Xenopus tropicalis: one gene and its partner. The protein of the gene in region 1 purifies or fractionates together with the protein of each later gene. This does not show direct contact. Links are inferred from orthologs where the notes say so. Each region holds a gene or a part of one and is shown on either strand. Other genes may lie near its edges.

The links.
Region 2: the proteins of cecr2 (region 1) and smarca5 purify together in Homo sapiens (affinity purification with mass spectrometry; 3 studies listed by BioGRID and IntAct, with this or other methods). This does not show direct contact. The link is inferred for Xenopus tropicalis from reciprocal best matches to the Homo sapiens genes CECR2 and SMARCA5.

The regions. Positions count from the first base shown.
Region 1 is NC_030679.2:8,773,508-8,782,235, reverse strand, and holds the start of cecr2 (cat eye syndrome critical region protein 2), read left to right. Parts: upstream 1-4,116; 5' UTR 4,117-4,255; coding exon 4,256-4,369; intron 4,370-8,728. UniProt on the Homo sapiens protein: Regulatory subunit of the ATP-dependent CERF-1 and CERF-5 ISWI chromatin remodeling complexes, which form ordered nucleosome arrays on chromatin and facilitate access to DNA during DNA-templated processes such as DNA replication, transcription, and repair.
Region 2 is NC_030677.2:59,232,704-59,240,874, reverse strand, and holds part of smarca5 (SWI/SNF-related matrix-associated actin-dependent regulator of chromatin subfamily A member 5), read left to right. Parts: intron 1-3,170; coding exon 3,171-3,260; intron 3,261-4,084; coding exon 4,085-4,251; intron 4,252-5,050; coding exon 5,051-5,151; intron 5,152-5,516; coding exon 5,517-5,617; intron 5,618-5,990; coding exon 5,991-6,170; intron 6,171-6,857; coding exon 6,858-7,013; intron 7,014-7,512; coding exon 7,513-7,644; intron 7,645-8,171. UniProt on the Homo sapiens protein: ATPase that possesses intrinsic ATP-dependent nucleosome-remodeling activity.

The DNA of each region.
Region 1 (8,728 bases):
AAGTATGAGTGAGTAAGCAGTGTGAGTGAGTAAGCAGTGTGAGTGTATATGAGTGAGTAAGCCGTGTGAGTGAGTAAGCAGTGTGAGTGTATATGAGTGAGTGAGTAAGCAGTGTGAGTGTATGAGTGAGTAAGCCGTGTATATGAGTGAGTGAGTGTATGAGTGAGTGAGTGAGTAAGTAGTGTGTATATGAGTGAATGAGTGTATGAGTGAGTGAGTAAGTAAGTAGTGTGTATATGAGTGAGTGAGTGAGTGAGTAAGTAGTGTGTATATGAGTGAGTGAGTGTATATGAGTGAGTGTATATGAGTGAGTGAGTAAGTGTGTATATGAGTGAGTGAGTATATGAGTGAGTGAGTGAGTAAGTAGTGTGTATGAGTGAGTAGTGTGTTTATGAGTGAGTGAGTGTATGAGTGAGTGAGTAAGTAGTGTGTATATGAGTGAGTGAGTGTATGAGTGAGTGAGTGAGTGAGTGAGTAAGTAGTGTGTATATGAGTGAGTGAGTAAGTAGTGTGTATATGAGTGAGTGAGTGAGTGTATATGAGTGAGTGTATATGAGTGAGTGAGTGAGTAAGTGTGTATATGAGTGAGTGAGTATATGAGTGAGTGAGTAAGTAGTGTGTATGAGTGAGTAGTGTGTATATGAGTGAGTGAGTATATGAGTGAGTGAGTAGTGTGTATATGAGTAAGTGTGTATATGAGTGAGTGAGTGTGTATATGAGTGAGTGAGTAGTGTGTATATGAGTGAGTGAGTGAGTAGAATGTATATGAGTGAGTGAGTGAGTAGGGAGTGAGTGTATATGAGTGAGTGAGTGTATATGAGTGAGTGAGGGAGTGAGTGTATATGAGTGAGTGAGTGTATATGAGTGAGTGAGTGTATATGAGTGAGTGAGTGAGTGTATATGAGTGAGTGAGTGTATATGAGTGAGTGAGTGTATATGAGTGAGTGAGTGTATATGAGTGATTGAGTGTATATGAGTGAGTGAGTGTATATGAGTGAGTGTATATGAGTGAGTGAGTGTATATGAGTGTATATGAGTGAGTGAGTGTATATGAGTGAGTGAGTGTATATGAGTGAGTGTATATGAGTGAGTGAGTGAATGTATATGAGTGAGTGAGTGTATATGAGTGAGTGAGTGTATGAGTGAGTGAGTGAGTGTATATGAGTGAGTGTATGAGTGAGTGAGTGTATATGAGTGAGTGAGTGTATATGAGTGAGTGTATATGAGTGAGTGAGTGAGTGAGTGTATATGAGTGAGTGAGTGTATATGAGTGAGTGAGTGTATATGAGTGAGTGAGGGAGTGAGTGTATATGAGTGAGTGAGTGTATATGAGTGAGTGTATATGAGTGAGTGAGTGTATATGAGTGAGTGAGTGTATATGAGTGAGTGAGTGTATATGAGTGAGTGAGTGAGTGTATATGAGTGAGTGAGTGTATATGAGTGAGTGAGTGTATATGAGTGAGTGAGTGTATATGAGTGAGTGAGTGTATATGAGTGAGTGAGTGTATATGAGTGAGTGAGTGAGTGAGTGTATATGAGTGAGTGAGTGTATATGAGTGAGTGAGTGTATATGAGTGAGTGAGTGAGTGTATATGAGTGAGTGAGTAAGTAGTGTGTATATGAGTGAGTGAGTAAGTAGTGTGTATATGAGTGAGTATGAGTGAGTGAGTGAGTGTATGAGTGAGTGAGTGAGTAAGTAGTGTGTATATGAGTGAGTGAGTGTATATGAGTGAGTGAGTGTATATGAGTGAGTGAGTGTATATGAGTGAGTGAGTGTATGAGTGAGTGAGTGAGTGTATATGACTGAGTGAGTGAGTGTATATGAGTGAGTGAGTGAGTGTATATGAGTGAGTGAGTGAATATGAGTGAGTGAGTGTATATGAGTGAGTGAGTGTATATGAGTGAGTGAGTGAGTGTATATGAGTGAGTGAGTGTATATGAGTGAGTGAGTATGAGTGAGTAAGTAAGTAGTGTGTATATGAGTGAGTGAGTGTATATGAGTGAGTGAGTGTATATGAGTGAGTGAGTGTATATGAGTGAGTGTATATGAGTGAGTGAGTGAGTATGAGTGAGTGAGTGAGTGTATATGAGTGAGTGAGTGTATATGAGTGAGTGAGTGAGTGTATATGAGTGAGTGAGTGAGAGTGAGTGAGTAAGTAGTGTGTATATGAGTGAGTGAGTGTATATGAGTGAGTGAGTGAATATGAGTGAGTGAGTGTATATGAGTGAGTATGAGTGAGTGAGTGAGTGAGTAGTGTGTATATGAGTGAGTGAGTGTATATGAGTGAGTGAGTGAGTGTATATGAGTGAGTGAGTGTATATGAGTGAGTGAGTGTATATGAGTGAGGGAGTGAGTGAGTGAGTATGAGTGAGTGAGTAAGTAGTGTGTATATGAGTGAGTGAGTAAGTAGTGTGTATATGAGTGAGTGAGTGAGTAAGTAGTGTGTATATGAGTGAGTGAGTGAGGGAGTGAGTGTATATGAGTGAGTGAGTGTATATGAGTGAATGAGTGTATATGAGTGAGTGAGTGTATATGAGTGAGTGAGGGAGTGAGTGTATATGAGTGAGTGAGTGTATATGAGTGAGGGAGTGAGTGTATATGAGTGAGTGAGTGTATATGAGTGAGTGTATATGAGTGAGTGTATATGAGTGAGTGAGTGTATATGAGTGAGTGAGTGTATATGAGTGAGTGAGTGTATATGAGTGAGTGAGTGTATATGAGTGAATGAGTGTATATGAGTGAGTGAGTGTATATGAGTGAGTGAGGGAGTGAGTGTATATGAGTGAGTGAGTGTATATGAGTGAGTGTATATGAGTGAGGGAGTGAGTGTATATGAGTGAGTGAGTGTATATGAGTGAGTGTATATGAGTGAGTGTATATGAGTGAGTGTATATGAGTGAGTGTATATGAGTGAGTGAGTGTATATGAGTGAGTGTATATGAGTGAGTGAGTGTATATGAGTGAGTGAGTGAGTAAGTAGTGTGTATATGAGTGAGTGAGTGTATATGAGTGAGTGAGTGTATGAGTGAGTGAGTGTATATGAGTGAGTGAGTGTATATGAGTGAGTGAGTGTATATGAGTGAGTGAGTGTATATGAGTGAGTGAGTGTATATGAGTGAGTGAGTGAGTGAGTAAGTAGTGTGTATATGAGTGAGTGAGTGTATATGAGTGAGTGAGTGAGTGTATATGAGTGAGTGAGTGTATGAGTGAGTGAGTGTATATGAGTGAGTGAGTGAGTGTATATGAGTGAGTGAGTGAGTGTATATGAGTGAGTGAGTGAGTGTATATGAGTGAGTGAGTGTATATGAGTGAGTGAGTGAGTATGAGTGAGTGAGTGAGTAAGTAGTGTGTATATGAGTGAGTGAGTGTATATGAGTGAGTGAGTGAGTGTATATGAGTGAGTGTATATGAGTGAGTGAGTGTATATGAGTGAGTGAGTGAGTATGAGTGAGTGAGTGAGTGAGTAAGTAGTGTGTATATGAGTGAGTGAGTGAGTGGATATGAGTGAGGGAGTGAGTGTATATGAGTGAGGGAGTGAGTGAGTGAGTATGAGTGAGTGAGTAAGTAGTGTGTATATGAGTGAGTGAGTGAGTATGAGTGAGTGAGTGAGTAAGTAGTGTGTATATGAGTGAGTGAGTGTATATGAGTGAGTGAGTGAGTGTATATGAGTGAGTGAGTGAGTGTATATGAGTGAGTGAGTGTATATGAGTGAGTGAGTGAGTATGAGTGAGTGAGTGAGTAAGTAGTGTGTATATGAGTGAGTGAGTGAGTGGATATGAGTGAGGGAGTGAGTGTATATGAGTGAGGGAGTGAGTGAGTGAGTATGAGTGAGTGAGTGAGTGAGTAAGTAGTGTGTATATGAGTGAGTGAGTGAGTATGAGTGAGTGAGTGTATATGAGTGAGGGAGTGAGTGAGTATGAGTGAGTGAGTGAGTGTATATGAGTGAGGGAGTGAGTGAGTGAGTATGAGTGAGTGAGTGAGTAAGTAGTGTGTATATGAGTGAGTGAGTATGAGTGAGTGAGTGAGTGTATATGAGTGAGGGAGTGAGTGAGTGAGTGTATATGAGTGAGGGAGGGAGTGAGTGAGTGAGTGTATATGAGTGAGTAGTGTGCCCGGAGTGGGTTCCGAGTCCCTCCCCCAGTCTCCTCCCTCCCCAGCCCCCTCCCCCGCTCCATCTGCTCCCAGCCCGGCCGGGGATCACATTGTACCGGAGCTCCCCACACGCTGTAGCCGGGCTCGGGGTGCTGCCTCGGGATGCCCCCGGTCGGTGCCCTGGGGGAGCTCCGCTCTTGTTGGCGGGTCCCCGCCATCGCGCATTTCTGCTCCCTCTTCCGCACCGCCTTCCAGCTGCCGGACTTCGAGATAGAGGTGAGGGGCCGGGGGGCCCGGGGGCCTGGGGGCGGGAGCGGAGGCTACACCTGGGCCGGGGGCGGCGTTACGAGTTTGGGGCGATGGCGCTTTGAGTTTGGGGCTAAACTTGGGAGATAAGGGGGGGGGGTACCTGCTACTACTGAGCGGCAACTTTCCCTGGGACTGAGAGACTGCAGCCTGGGTATGGGGCACCCCTGTCTGATGGTATATCCCCAACACCCCCTGTCTGATGGTATATCCCCAGCACCCCCTGTCTGATGGTATATCCCCAGCACCCCTTGAGTAGCCTGAGGGCCGGGGCAATAGCTGCGTTATTCCAATAATTCGATTTCCCAATATTATTCTCTCAGTAATGTGCCCTCCCTACCTATTTGCTCATATATCTAAACTTCTTGGACCCCCAGAAGTCCTATTCTACCTTATTTGCCCTGCATATCCCCCCCCATAGTTCATTTAGATTTCTCTAACCCCCCCCCCCCCATAAGATAGTACGGTCTTATTTAGCTTTTAGCAGCATAACAGGGGTTAAATGTAGCCAGTGGGTTTGAGTGTAACTCATTGCTCATTGATGTGAAGGGTAAGTGCTTGCAGCAAGCCAGCTGTTGTTGCACTACAATTCCCAAGAGGATGCTGGGATTGGTAGTTCTACAACCCACACAGGGGCGTCTCTGCACTGACTACCAGTTTAATGGGAGACTTTATAGCCCTGTGGCACTGGAATATGGGAAACACAATGGGGCCAAACCCATTCGTTCTGCTGGTGTCTTGGGCGCCCAAGTGCTTGGATAGACTTATTTTTCTGGGAATTAAATAGAAATGGTTAAACTTTTCCTTGAGTACTTTGCCCGAGTTCTCTCCGTGCCGCAGGATTAGGGGGATATGCGATTAGTCAGTGAGAATTGCCATTAAATGCCCATAGGATTAACCCCGTATCCGTGTACCTGGGGCACGGCGACCGCTCTGTCTTTATTTCAATAGGGATATAAACCCAGAAATATATATTAAGCATTTTCCCAATACCCATCCATTCATTCTTCATTCTCACTGGGTTTATAGTTATGTGTAATTGTCACTGTGTCTGTCCCTTTCCCTTCCCTGCACTGCTGGTTCTGACTCCTGATACAACTCCCCAATATCCATTCATTCCTCATTCTCACTGGGTTTATAGTTATGTGTAACTGTCACTGTGTCTGTCCCTTTCCCTTCCCTGCACTGCTGGTTCTGACTCCTGATACAACTCCCCAATATCCATTCATTCCTCATTCTCACTGGGTTTATAGTTATGTGTAACTGTCACTGTACCTGTCCCTTTCCCTTCTCTGCACTGCTGGTTCTGACTCCTGATACAACTCCCCAATATCCATTCATCCCGCATTCTCACTGGGTTTATAGTTATGTGTAACTGTCACTGTACCTGTCCCTTTCCCTTCTCTGCACTGCTGGTTCTGACTCCTGATACAACTCCCCAATATCCATTCATCCCGCATTCTCACTGGGTTTATAGTTATGTGTAACTGTCACTGTGTCTGTCCCTCCCTTTCCCTTCCTTGCACTGCTGGTTCTGACTCCTGATACAACTCCCCAATATCCATTCATTCCTCATTCTCACTGGGTTTATAGTTATGTGTAACTGTCACTGTGTCTGTCCCTTTCCCTTCCCTGCACTGCTGGTTCTGACTCCTGATACAACTCCCCAATATCCATTCATTCCTCATTCTCACTGGGTTTATAGTTATGTGTAACTGTCACTGTGTCTGTCCCTTTCCCTTCCCTGCACTGCTGGTTCTGACTCCTGATACAACTTCCCCAATACCCATTCATTCCTCATTCTCCCTGGGTTTATATGTGTTACTCTCATTGCTGTCTGTCCACTGGTTCTGACTCTTGAAGCCATGTAGCAGAAATCTATTCTCCTTGTTTGTTAATCAGCTGCTTCTCCCGTATTGGGTTTACTTCCCCTTTACCGGAGGGTTACAGTAATCACTAGGCACCTCGTTGGTCTCTTGTACCTGAGCGCCAGGGTGCTGGATGATGTAACACCATGTAATTTGTTTTTTTTTTTTTTTTTTTTGTCCGCTGAACCTGTAACATCTGGAGTCGGATCCACGTTCAATGCAACAGAGAGAAAAGAAAAACTTAAATATAGGTCTTCCGAACCATAAATAGGATTGGTGGACAAAATAGAAAGAGTAAAGGGGACATTTCTAGAGGCACCCAAATTTTACCAGTGACAGGTTTATGGCATATGGGGTGCTTGTCTGGCGCTGCCACCCTGTTGGGGTGCTCCAGATACCAGAAAGGAGGTCCTTGTCCCATAGCGTTTAAACCTAAGTGGGTCGGCGACTTACAGACGGGTGTTCTAGATATAAGGTCTAGATAGATAGATATATAGTCCAGATAGATATAAAGTCCAGATATAAACTACTCTTTGGTTGCCAAAATCTGGTTGCTAAGGTCACTGACTTTAGCAACCAGCTTACATGTCAAGCTTTACTTTGTAGGGAAGCAGAATAGAGAGAGAAATCATTAAGCTTTGGGCACAGCCATCTGCGGCATATTTAAATGTTTTTTGTGAAGGTTTACGTGTGATTTCAAAGATAAAGTCCCCCCCCCACCCCTTTGTTGTGTATTGTGGTCCAGCCGGGTCAGGTTGCAGCTTCCTGGTGATGAAGGGGTTTAGCAGAGCTCAGTTTCTCTGCCTATTGGGATGCAATGTGCTGGATGTAATAGAAAAGTTTTGTTCTGTGGGGCAGAGCTGTGATGGGGGGGGGGTCGGGGGTGAGGAGTAAAAGGGGTTGTGGGGCGGGTGGGGGGGAGCTAAGGGGGGAAACCCCTCTGTTTGTTTTGTTCTGTGGCTTGCAGAGGCAGCATGGCATCTCGGGATGGGACAATGTGACCGTGGGGGGGGGGGGGGGGGGGGGGTGGGAGAGGAGGTGGGCTTGCCTTAACCGTTCCTTGGCCTGGAGTCACGTAAGCCATGGCTCTGTGCTGTGCTTGCATGGTCTCTGGCCAGGGGGAGGCTTCTGAGAGCAGCCGGTGTCCCACCAACTACAGCTCCCAGCAGCCCCCATTAATTCCAAGACTTGTAAGTCAGCCATGTTTGGGCAGATACAGGCTGCCCAGCCCTGATTATATAAATCAGTCAGCACAATGGTCAGGGGCTTTTGTAGTCTATATGCCAGCACATCAGTAGCCAGGTACTTAACCCTTCCCATGCTTGCCTTTATATGGTATGATATCTAATATCCTTATCATTTACAGTAGGGGGTACATTATCCCTTATAATACATGAGTGATACTCAGAGTTCCCTGTATAACTCAGCCTGCAGCCTTGTGCCTTTATATGGGCACAGAACCCCTCAGTGACTGCTAATATCCTTATCATTTACAGTAGGGGGTACATTATCCCTTATAATACATGAGTGATACTCAGAGTTCCCTGTATAACTCAGCCTGCAGCCTTGTGCCTTTATATGGGGGGCACAGAACCCCTCAGTGACTGCTAATATCCTTATCATTTACAGTAGGGGGTACATTATCCCTTATAATACATGAGTGATACTCAGGGTTCCCTGTATAACTCAGCCTGCAGCCTTGTGCCTTTATATGGGCACAGAACCCCTCAGTGACTGCTAATATCCTTATCATTTACAGTAGGGGGTACATTATCCCTTATAATACATGAGTGATACTCAGAGTTCCCTGTATAACTCAGCCTGCAGCCTTGTGCCTTTTATATGGGCACAGAACCCCTCAGTGGCTGCTAATATCCTTATCATTTACAGTAGGGGGGTACATTGCTGTATATTAGCTATATGCCTATGCCGCCGGGTGTTGTTTTGCAAGAAATGAAGGAGAAGGAAAGAAAAGGGACAAATATTGATTTGGAATTTCCATTCCGCCATCGGGAGAGCTGCTATTTATTCTTTGGGCGGTGTGATTTCGGGTCAAGAGCAGCAGGGGAAAGAAAATCAAAGTGGTTGCATGTGATTGGCTGGATATTGTACAATTTCCCCACACACACGTATTGCCAGGGTGAGAGTTCAGCCTTATTTGTTGTGCTTTGTACTTTTACCCCCCCCCCCCCCCCACTAAGGGGGCCCCTCTGCTGCTGGGGCCCAGCTCTGTTTTTGCTGGGGGGCTATGAATGCCCCTGCACTGCTGGCTCTGGATAGGAGTTGAAGCACATGGCTTTTTTGTTATGATAAAAATGGGGAGGATATTTCCCTCCCCGCTGTGGCTCTACCCATTTACACCGAGGCCCCGCCCCCAGCCCCCCCTCTCCTGGGTGATGTCACTGCATGGGAGGGGGCTCGGGCAGGGGTGTTTGTTTTCCTTGCTCTGCAGAGATGCTTT
Region 2 (8,171 bases), on another chromosome or scaffold:
CGATATCTGTGGCCTCTTACGTAATTTTTCTAATGGAGATTCTTATGTGTTCCTAGTTCACTTACTGCTGATCATTTATCAGCAATCTGCATCTGGACAGTAACCCATAGCAACCAATCAGAGATGAGCTTTTTTTCATCCTTCTTCAGTTAGAACAATAATAGCAAACTTTGATCGATTGTCATGGGTTAATGCAAGGGTGCAAGTTTTAACCAACTTTATCAAATAAACTCTACTCACTTTTCTCATTTAAGTTATTAACTGTATGCAAGATCTTTTCTGCCCTTGATCTAAATTAGTTATCTTTGTGTTCCTGTTTTTCAGCCTTTTGGCTTTATTTTTATTCGCCTGACTTATTATAAATAGTTGATGGAATACTGTATTTCTAAGCAATCAGTTCTCCCTGTTCAATGAACAGCTGTTTGTAGTCAGTCCCTGTTTATTGGGCCTGTGGGGACTGTTTGGCTTTCTTTGCACCTGATAAACCAGGGTTTATTTCATTTCCCAGTCCAGTCATTTAATAGTTCTTGCCAGTGTTCTCCCCAGAAAAAAAATAAATGTGATATAGCTGAGGTTAAGGGGGCTTAACCCATTTATTATCCAAATGGGTAAAAGTCCAGCCCATCTGTTCCACTTCCTCCGTTCCCAGGCCATGCAGCACTTTGCACTGTAGGATTGAAGCCAATCAGCAATTAGGCTGACCTGATAGGGAACTGAAGCCTATCTGTGCAGAGGTGTGTGTGCTATCCTACTGTGCTTCTGGCAGGGAAAGTTAGAACATGCCCACACTGCATTTGAAACACAGGCAGGGACCCGAGAGAATCTATAGGAAGCTCTGATAAAGGGTTCATTTTTACAGATAGTGGTATTAAAGACCAAAGTGAAACCAGCACCATATAGTATTCATAATTGCCTACAAGATTAGAGATTTTTTCATTTATCCTATGTCTCCTTTAACGTCTATTAGCCCCTTTATTAGGGGGCAAATCTAAATACATAAGTACCAGAATATATACATAATAGACATTTAAGGACTTATGAATAGACGTTTAAAATTTATGCACTATAACCAGTCCGTAATCCCATGATTTTCAACAGTGGAAAGTCACAAATTCAGTTACATTACCAGTTTTTACATATCTCTTAAATTTAGACTAAAGGCCCCCTTACACGGGCCGATAGAAGCTGCCGATATCGGTCCCTTGGACCGGCTCGGCAGCTTATCTGCCCGTGTAGGGGCAGAAACGAGCGGGCTGGCCGACCGATATCTGGCCTGAAATTGGCCAGATATCGATCGGCCAGGTTAAAAGATTCAGTCGGATCGGAGGCCGCATCAGCTCGTTGATGCGGTCCCCGAACCGACTGCCCCATTGCTGCCTACATAATCCGGTCGTTTGGCCCCAGGGCCAAACAATCGGATTATTTTTTTTTTTAACTTCAAGCTAGCTCAAGTGTATCGCTAGTAGGGAAGAAATTGCCAGCCAGGTAAAAATAGGCCTTGGTGGGGATAAAAATTAAATGTTCCTGCCCCTAAAAGAAAAACTTTAACAGAAGCTAAGAGGACTGTGTGCTTCTTCAAATGCATCGCACTGTCCTTCCAACTTCTGTAACAGAAATTTCATCTACATAAGAGGTGGGGAAAACTTTGGCTGTTTGCCTTGTGTAAGGAAATAAAAAGGGCAGATTTGTTATTTGTTCCCTGAAATCGCGGAAGTTTCCTCTCAAGACAACTTCCGCTATTTCAGGGAAATCGCGGCGCCACGTATGCCATCCCACCGGTAATTTGCATTTTCGCCAGTGGGATGGCATTTCGGGGAGATTAGTTGCCCGTGAACAGGGAGATTTGTTGCGGGCGACTAATCTCCCCGTGTGCCAGAGCCCTTAAGATGACCACACACGTGGCGATTTTTGATCTTTCTGTTGCACGAAAGATCGTTCCAACCCACCCTGACATTCAGGGCTGAATCATCAGATATGGAAAAGTAGAAACAATAGGATTTCTACCTCCTTCTGTCAATTCAGCCGTGAAGGCAGATTTTACTCAGGCGCCTTCAATGGCGCCCGATCAAAATCTTTTAACCCGCCCGATCGGCGAGTCGATATCGGCAGCCTTCTGCGATATTGGTCGCCTCGCTGAGTTGCCATACACGCACTGAATTCAATTTTTTTTTAAAAACGCTTTCCTTTTTTTCTGTAGTAATAAACTTATTAATCCTTATTGGAGATAAAACAATCCTACAGGACTTATTTAATATTTAAATGATTTTTAAATTGATTTTAAGTATGGATATCTAAATTACACAAAACACCACGTCCTGAGCATTCTGAATAACTGGTGTCATACCTGTATGTGCCACTTGTGAGTACTAAGGGGCCATGCTGTGCCTTTGGCTCATATGATTAGCAATAGCAGTATTGGGGAGCTCAACCCTCTGTTAACTTACCCAAACGGGTATCAGGTGCAAATACTGGAAGAACCTCACCTTGCATGGGGGTCAATATCCAACAGCAAAAAAATCCAGTAGCACACTGTGTGTGCTACTGGATTTTTTTGCCTTTGGCTCATATGATTGACTGGGCACACAAACCAAGGGCACACATACATGTGAGGTCACATCAGCCAGTTAATGGACAGTTCTGTATTTTATGCCCACAGTTCTTCCTGTTACAGTTAAGGCTGCATTATTTCCTGTCAGGAGCACACAGATCATCACAAAATAGTGGCACTGCATACAGTGTCACAAGCTGCCTATTCCCAGACTTCTCAGCAAATGACCCCAGCTCTGCAAAAAGGGGCTACAAACTTTCTTTTCACTTAAATTCATGACAGTGTGACAGTGGTCTGTAAGCATGGCACATCAAGCAGCGAATGAAGAGTCTGCAATTTAAATTCTTTGCAGGGCATCATGTTCATATGTGGTACTTATTAAATGTGCAATATAAAGTTATTTACAGCCTAAAAAAGCTTAGTAGCACTTGTGCTTAGACTATGTAATTTGTTCTAATCCTGTGTACATACAAGGTGGGTCCATTGGGTGGCACTACAGGGACAAGGCCCCAGTTCTTTATTTGCTTAAAATTAGTAAAACAAAATAAAAGCCTAGTTAGAAAATATTCAAGCATTGCAGCATTAAGTCATTGATACCTAGTAATTATTCATTTTTCTTCAGGATTATGAGCTTGATAATGAAGATGATGACGATTCTCTTAATAAATCGAAAGAAGGCAATGAGATGGATCCAGCTTATGAAGAAAAGAGGGTACATTTTATATTTTTCAAATTTTGGTTATATAGCAGATTTTGCATGGGAAAGTTGTGAAATTGAAACATTATTTTTTTTTCCCAAAGAATAGAAACAGGAGCTCTAGTTTAATAGCAGGTGTCACTACAATTCCCTACACAGCAATTTCTGTAAATAATGAGCAGTGCTCACACTGGTAATAACCTCTTGTTAGTGCTCCTATACCCCAAGTCCAGATTCTTTCCTTTTTTATTGCCACTTCAAAATAGGCAATCAAGGCCAATGCAGGGTTTAATGCAGGGTTTGTCTAACTAAAGCTTTTTTTTAAAAAAAAAAAAAAAAGGGGTGCGTGAGCCTAAACAATTCAAAGACCTCTGCATTAGGATAATAGCACAGGGTTTTCAGGAACCATATTGTGCTTCAAATTTTCAGCACTCAAAAACATCATATGTAGCTTATTGTCTGTGAGAACTGCATGGAAAAGCCTAACATGCCTGATTTTTACTTTATTTTCCCTAAAAATTCAAACAAGCATGTTTTAGTTGAAAATCTTGTGAAAATTGCTTCCATTAGCATTTTCATGCAATGCTTACAGAAAATAGTGAGATCTGGTTTGGTGCATTTTGATGTTGTGCTTTTAGCACCCAGAGGTGGTAGACAAAGAACTCCAAAATCTTTTACATGTTATATAGCCCAATTTTTTTAGAATTTCCATCTTAGTCTTTTCTGTAGAAACTTTGCTTCCCACCCGTCATGTTTAATTAATTAGAATGCTACAGTAAGTAAATTATCAGGTATGTATGTTTAATTTGGCTGCATATATATCATTTTTTTCCCCTCAGAAAACTGACCGCTCAAACAGATTTGAGTACCTTTTGAAACAGACAGAAGTGTTTGCACATTTCATTCAACCAGCTGCACAAAAGACCCCAACCTCGCCTTTAAAAATGAAACCAGGACGTCCTCGCCTAAAGAAAGACGAGAAACAAGATTTGCTGTCTATGGGAGAGTAAGTGGCCAAGGCTGTCCCATTGTGTTACTCTATGCATATTAGAAAAATAAACTCTTAGCAGTAAAAATGTTTTGTTTGTCCAGTTCCTTCTCTCCTTGTATTTTAGCTGTCCTCCATCTGTTTTTCCTGCTAACTATATATTACATCCATTCCGTTTTTCCTTAAATTCTCATTTTCAATACATCAAGAGAACTTTAATGGGATTAGGGAATTTTTTTGCAGAACTACAACAGCAAGGATTATACCAGCGCTGCTCAGAGAATTCTAGTTTTGCTGCTGTTGACATTTCAATAGGTGCTACTCTAGTATAAGGTGTTTTTATAACTGTAACTATTTAGTTAATGCACAGTAGATTTTTAAAATATTCTGGCATTATTTAAAAAAAAAAAAAAAAAAAAATGTATACTTGGACCTCTTCTCATGATTTCAGCGAAATAGTGACTATGCACGATTATATTATTTCTGACACTGGCTGTTAAGACACCTGCACATGATTGCTTAGTTGCAAGCCTGCTGCTCACAATTTGCAGCCTGCGTTGGGAACCTTTAACCTGAAGGTGGCAGTAATTTATCAGTAACCTCAGTCTTTCCATGCGTCAGTAGGTGAAGTTGCTTGCAATTGACCAAAACAGACTGGGAAGATGCAAATATTTACATGAGCGAGGAGCCTGAATGCATCCATTTGTTCCCGTGTTTGTAAATGAGCCTTATACTGTTCTTGTGTTGCTTCTTGACCCTAACATACGAGTCAGCCTTATTTTGCTGAGAACTAACAAAAGTAATGGCTTTTTCTTAGTTATCGCCATCGCCGGACAGAACAGGAGGAGGATGAGGAACTTTTAACTGAAAGTTCCAAAACCACAAATGTTTGCACCAGATTTGAAGACTCCCCATCATGTAAGTATGTTTTGGCTGGATTCAACTTACTGTTGGGCATACTGCAGATTTTAGTTATTGAGAGTTAAAGATCTTGGAATATTTAATTTTAGATATAGTGCAAAAGTATGAATGAAAACTGCATAGACTGAAGGCAAAGTGTGTGTCTCTTGTCCCTATTGGTTACTTGATTTTCATATACTGCTGTGTTGGTATGGCTTGTGTATATTTGGATGCATATTTGAGTAATTTGTTGCTGGTTCTGTGACTCAGATCTTTTTATAGAAAGATATATAGTTTGTTTTTGTTTTGTTTTTAAGAAAATCTAATGAAAACCAAAGCTATGTGCTTGAAAAATGACATTATTGTACTTGTCTTATTCACAGATGTAAAAGGTGGTACACTAAGAGATTACCAAGTCAGAGGATTAAATTGGTTAATATCGCTGTACGAGAATGGCATAAATGGAATTTTGGCTGATGAAATGGTAAATTTCTTTTTTTATTCTGCATTTTTATTGAACTTCAGGTCCTTTCCATACTGAAATTGCTCTAGTTTGCATTTCAAAATGTGAGAGGTGACACTTTGTTTTTTAAACTGTATGGTAGGCAGCAGTTTCAGACACTAGAGTGCCCTGCTGAATAGGCCTAAATTCCACAGGTGTCAAACTTAGTTGTATAACCAAAGAAACAAAATAAGTTTTTCTACTAAACACAAACTAAAGTTTTTCTTGATTTTCAAAATACTTTATTCAGGAATAGAAGTGAGTTACCTTTCAATACATAGTTAGTTTTTTAAGTAATATTTACATCTACAGTTTGTTTAAAACATTGATATACGGTTTCCTTTCTCTCTTACAGGGTCTAGGAAAGACTTTACAGACAATCAGTCTTTTGGGGTATATGAAGCACTACAGAAGTATCCCTGGGCCTCACATGGTCTTGGTTCCAAAGTCAACCTTGCACAACTGGATGGCAGAGTTCAAAAGATGGGTTCCTTCACTTTGTGCTATTTGTCTTATTGGTGACAAAGATCATAGAGTAAGTAGCTTTCACTTTGTTGTGATTTTTTGAGCACGTGATGCAAAATCCCTTTGTATGAAAGGATTAATGATAAATTGAGGGGGTTCATTAATGAGAAAATTAAGGATAAGGTTAATAGCCTTATCATTATCAGATAGGATAATATTTCAAATTTGTCTTTGGGATTGTACATATCATGGTGACAACAGTACTTTGCATATCTATTTAGAACCATAAAAGCACACTTGAACCCAGAAAGGCTTGACTTAGTCATTATGGCTTTCTTTTCCAGATTTGCTTTTGGGTCATTGTGGACTTTTAAAAACCCAGCTTCAATAAAGCTGGGTGACAACTATTTCAAGATTTTTATATGTGGCCCTAATTGCTCAATAAAATGTTTATTTTAGGTGCAACACAATGTACAAGATAGATTTTTCAAGCCATCGATAAATGAAGCATTGCAGTACTGGTTAAACACATCGCTGTTTGGTGTCCCTGTACTAAAACTATATCTAAAATATCCGACTGCTGTAAAGTTTGCCTTGGCTGAAAGTCTGTTCAGTGTATCCATTATTATTGACACTACTGATTAGCTTCCAACTTCCAATATAGAATTATTCTCTTCAGATTGTACTGTGGATGCATGCATTATAGGTTGTGCCATTTATTAAGATTTTTTTTCTCCCCAATTGCATTTGTTCTTAGGCTGCATTTGTCCGTGATGTACTCCTACCAGGAGAGTGGGATGTGTGTGTAACATCTTATGAAATGTTAATCAAGGAAAAGTCTGTTTTTAAAAAGTTTAACTGGAGATACCTAGTTATTGATGAAGCTCACAGGATCAAAAATGAGAAATCTAAGGTAGGTGTTAATTTTTTTTTTTTTTTTTTTTTTTTTTAACACCAAAAGAAGCTGGAGTTTAATTATGCTAAGAAATATTAAGACGCATTAAGAAGCAGCAGCAGTGGCCTTGCACTCACCTTGCCATGCAAATTGTATACTACAATAAACTCTCCCACAAAAAAAAACAGGTGTCCTTCACACTTGGGACAAAATCACAGTTCCACTGGCCAGCTATAGGATGGTTTTGCATACACTTCAGTTATTTCTAACTCAACTCTATTGCTTTGTGTTTTCTGTATTGACCATCTCACCCCAGCAATTGATGACTGGCCTGCAGTCTGATAAGTGATATTTGCATGGTTCTGTGAGCAGATTATGTAGTGTCTAGTGGCCATTGGGTTAATTGGTAGGAAAAACCCAAATTCCTGTCATGTATAAAGGCTTTTGTTGTGTATGCGGTATTGATTTTTTTTTTTAACAGTACCTGAATTTAAACTTTATTTCTTTTTCTCTACAGCTGTCTGAAATTGTGAGAGAGTTTAAGACAACAAATCGTCTTTTACTCACAGGGACACCACTTCAAAATAATCTACATGAGCTCTGGGCGTTGCTGAACTTTCTGTTACCAGATGTTTTTAATTCTGCTGAGGTAACTTGATGTGACACTATAGTTTGATATTGCATACAGTTTGAACCTTAGCACTGGAGTATGCATTTAAAGGAAAATATTTAGTCTCTTGTATGTTTCCACAGCAGCTTAAATCCATGTACAGGTAATATGCAAAATTATGCTATTATTGAATGTACTTTTCAGTTGTAATATTTTCTGGAGGGACACTCTCCAAAAGGCAGTGCACTTCAGCATCTGTTGGAGGCCCAATGGATCAACTGATACAGTTCATATAAGCAGTGACATGACAATAGACAAAAGGCTGTAAAACATTATGTTCAGCTCCATCTACCTACCTTTATTCCTTCTCTACTGTCTTTTTATTGTTTTTGTTTTTTTTTGTTCCTTTAAAGTCTTTCCCTTTCAAAAACAGTATCCATCTGACTCCTAGTAGTATGTAGAAGAAGACAGCCGATTAACAGTTCTGTATGCAACTTTTGAAGGTCAAGGTTGCATGTAGGTGTTAGTTTTAAGGTGGCAGTACATTGAAAAAAAACACTTGCTTG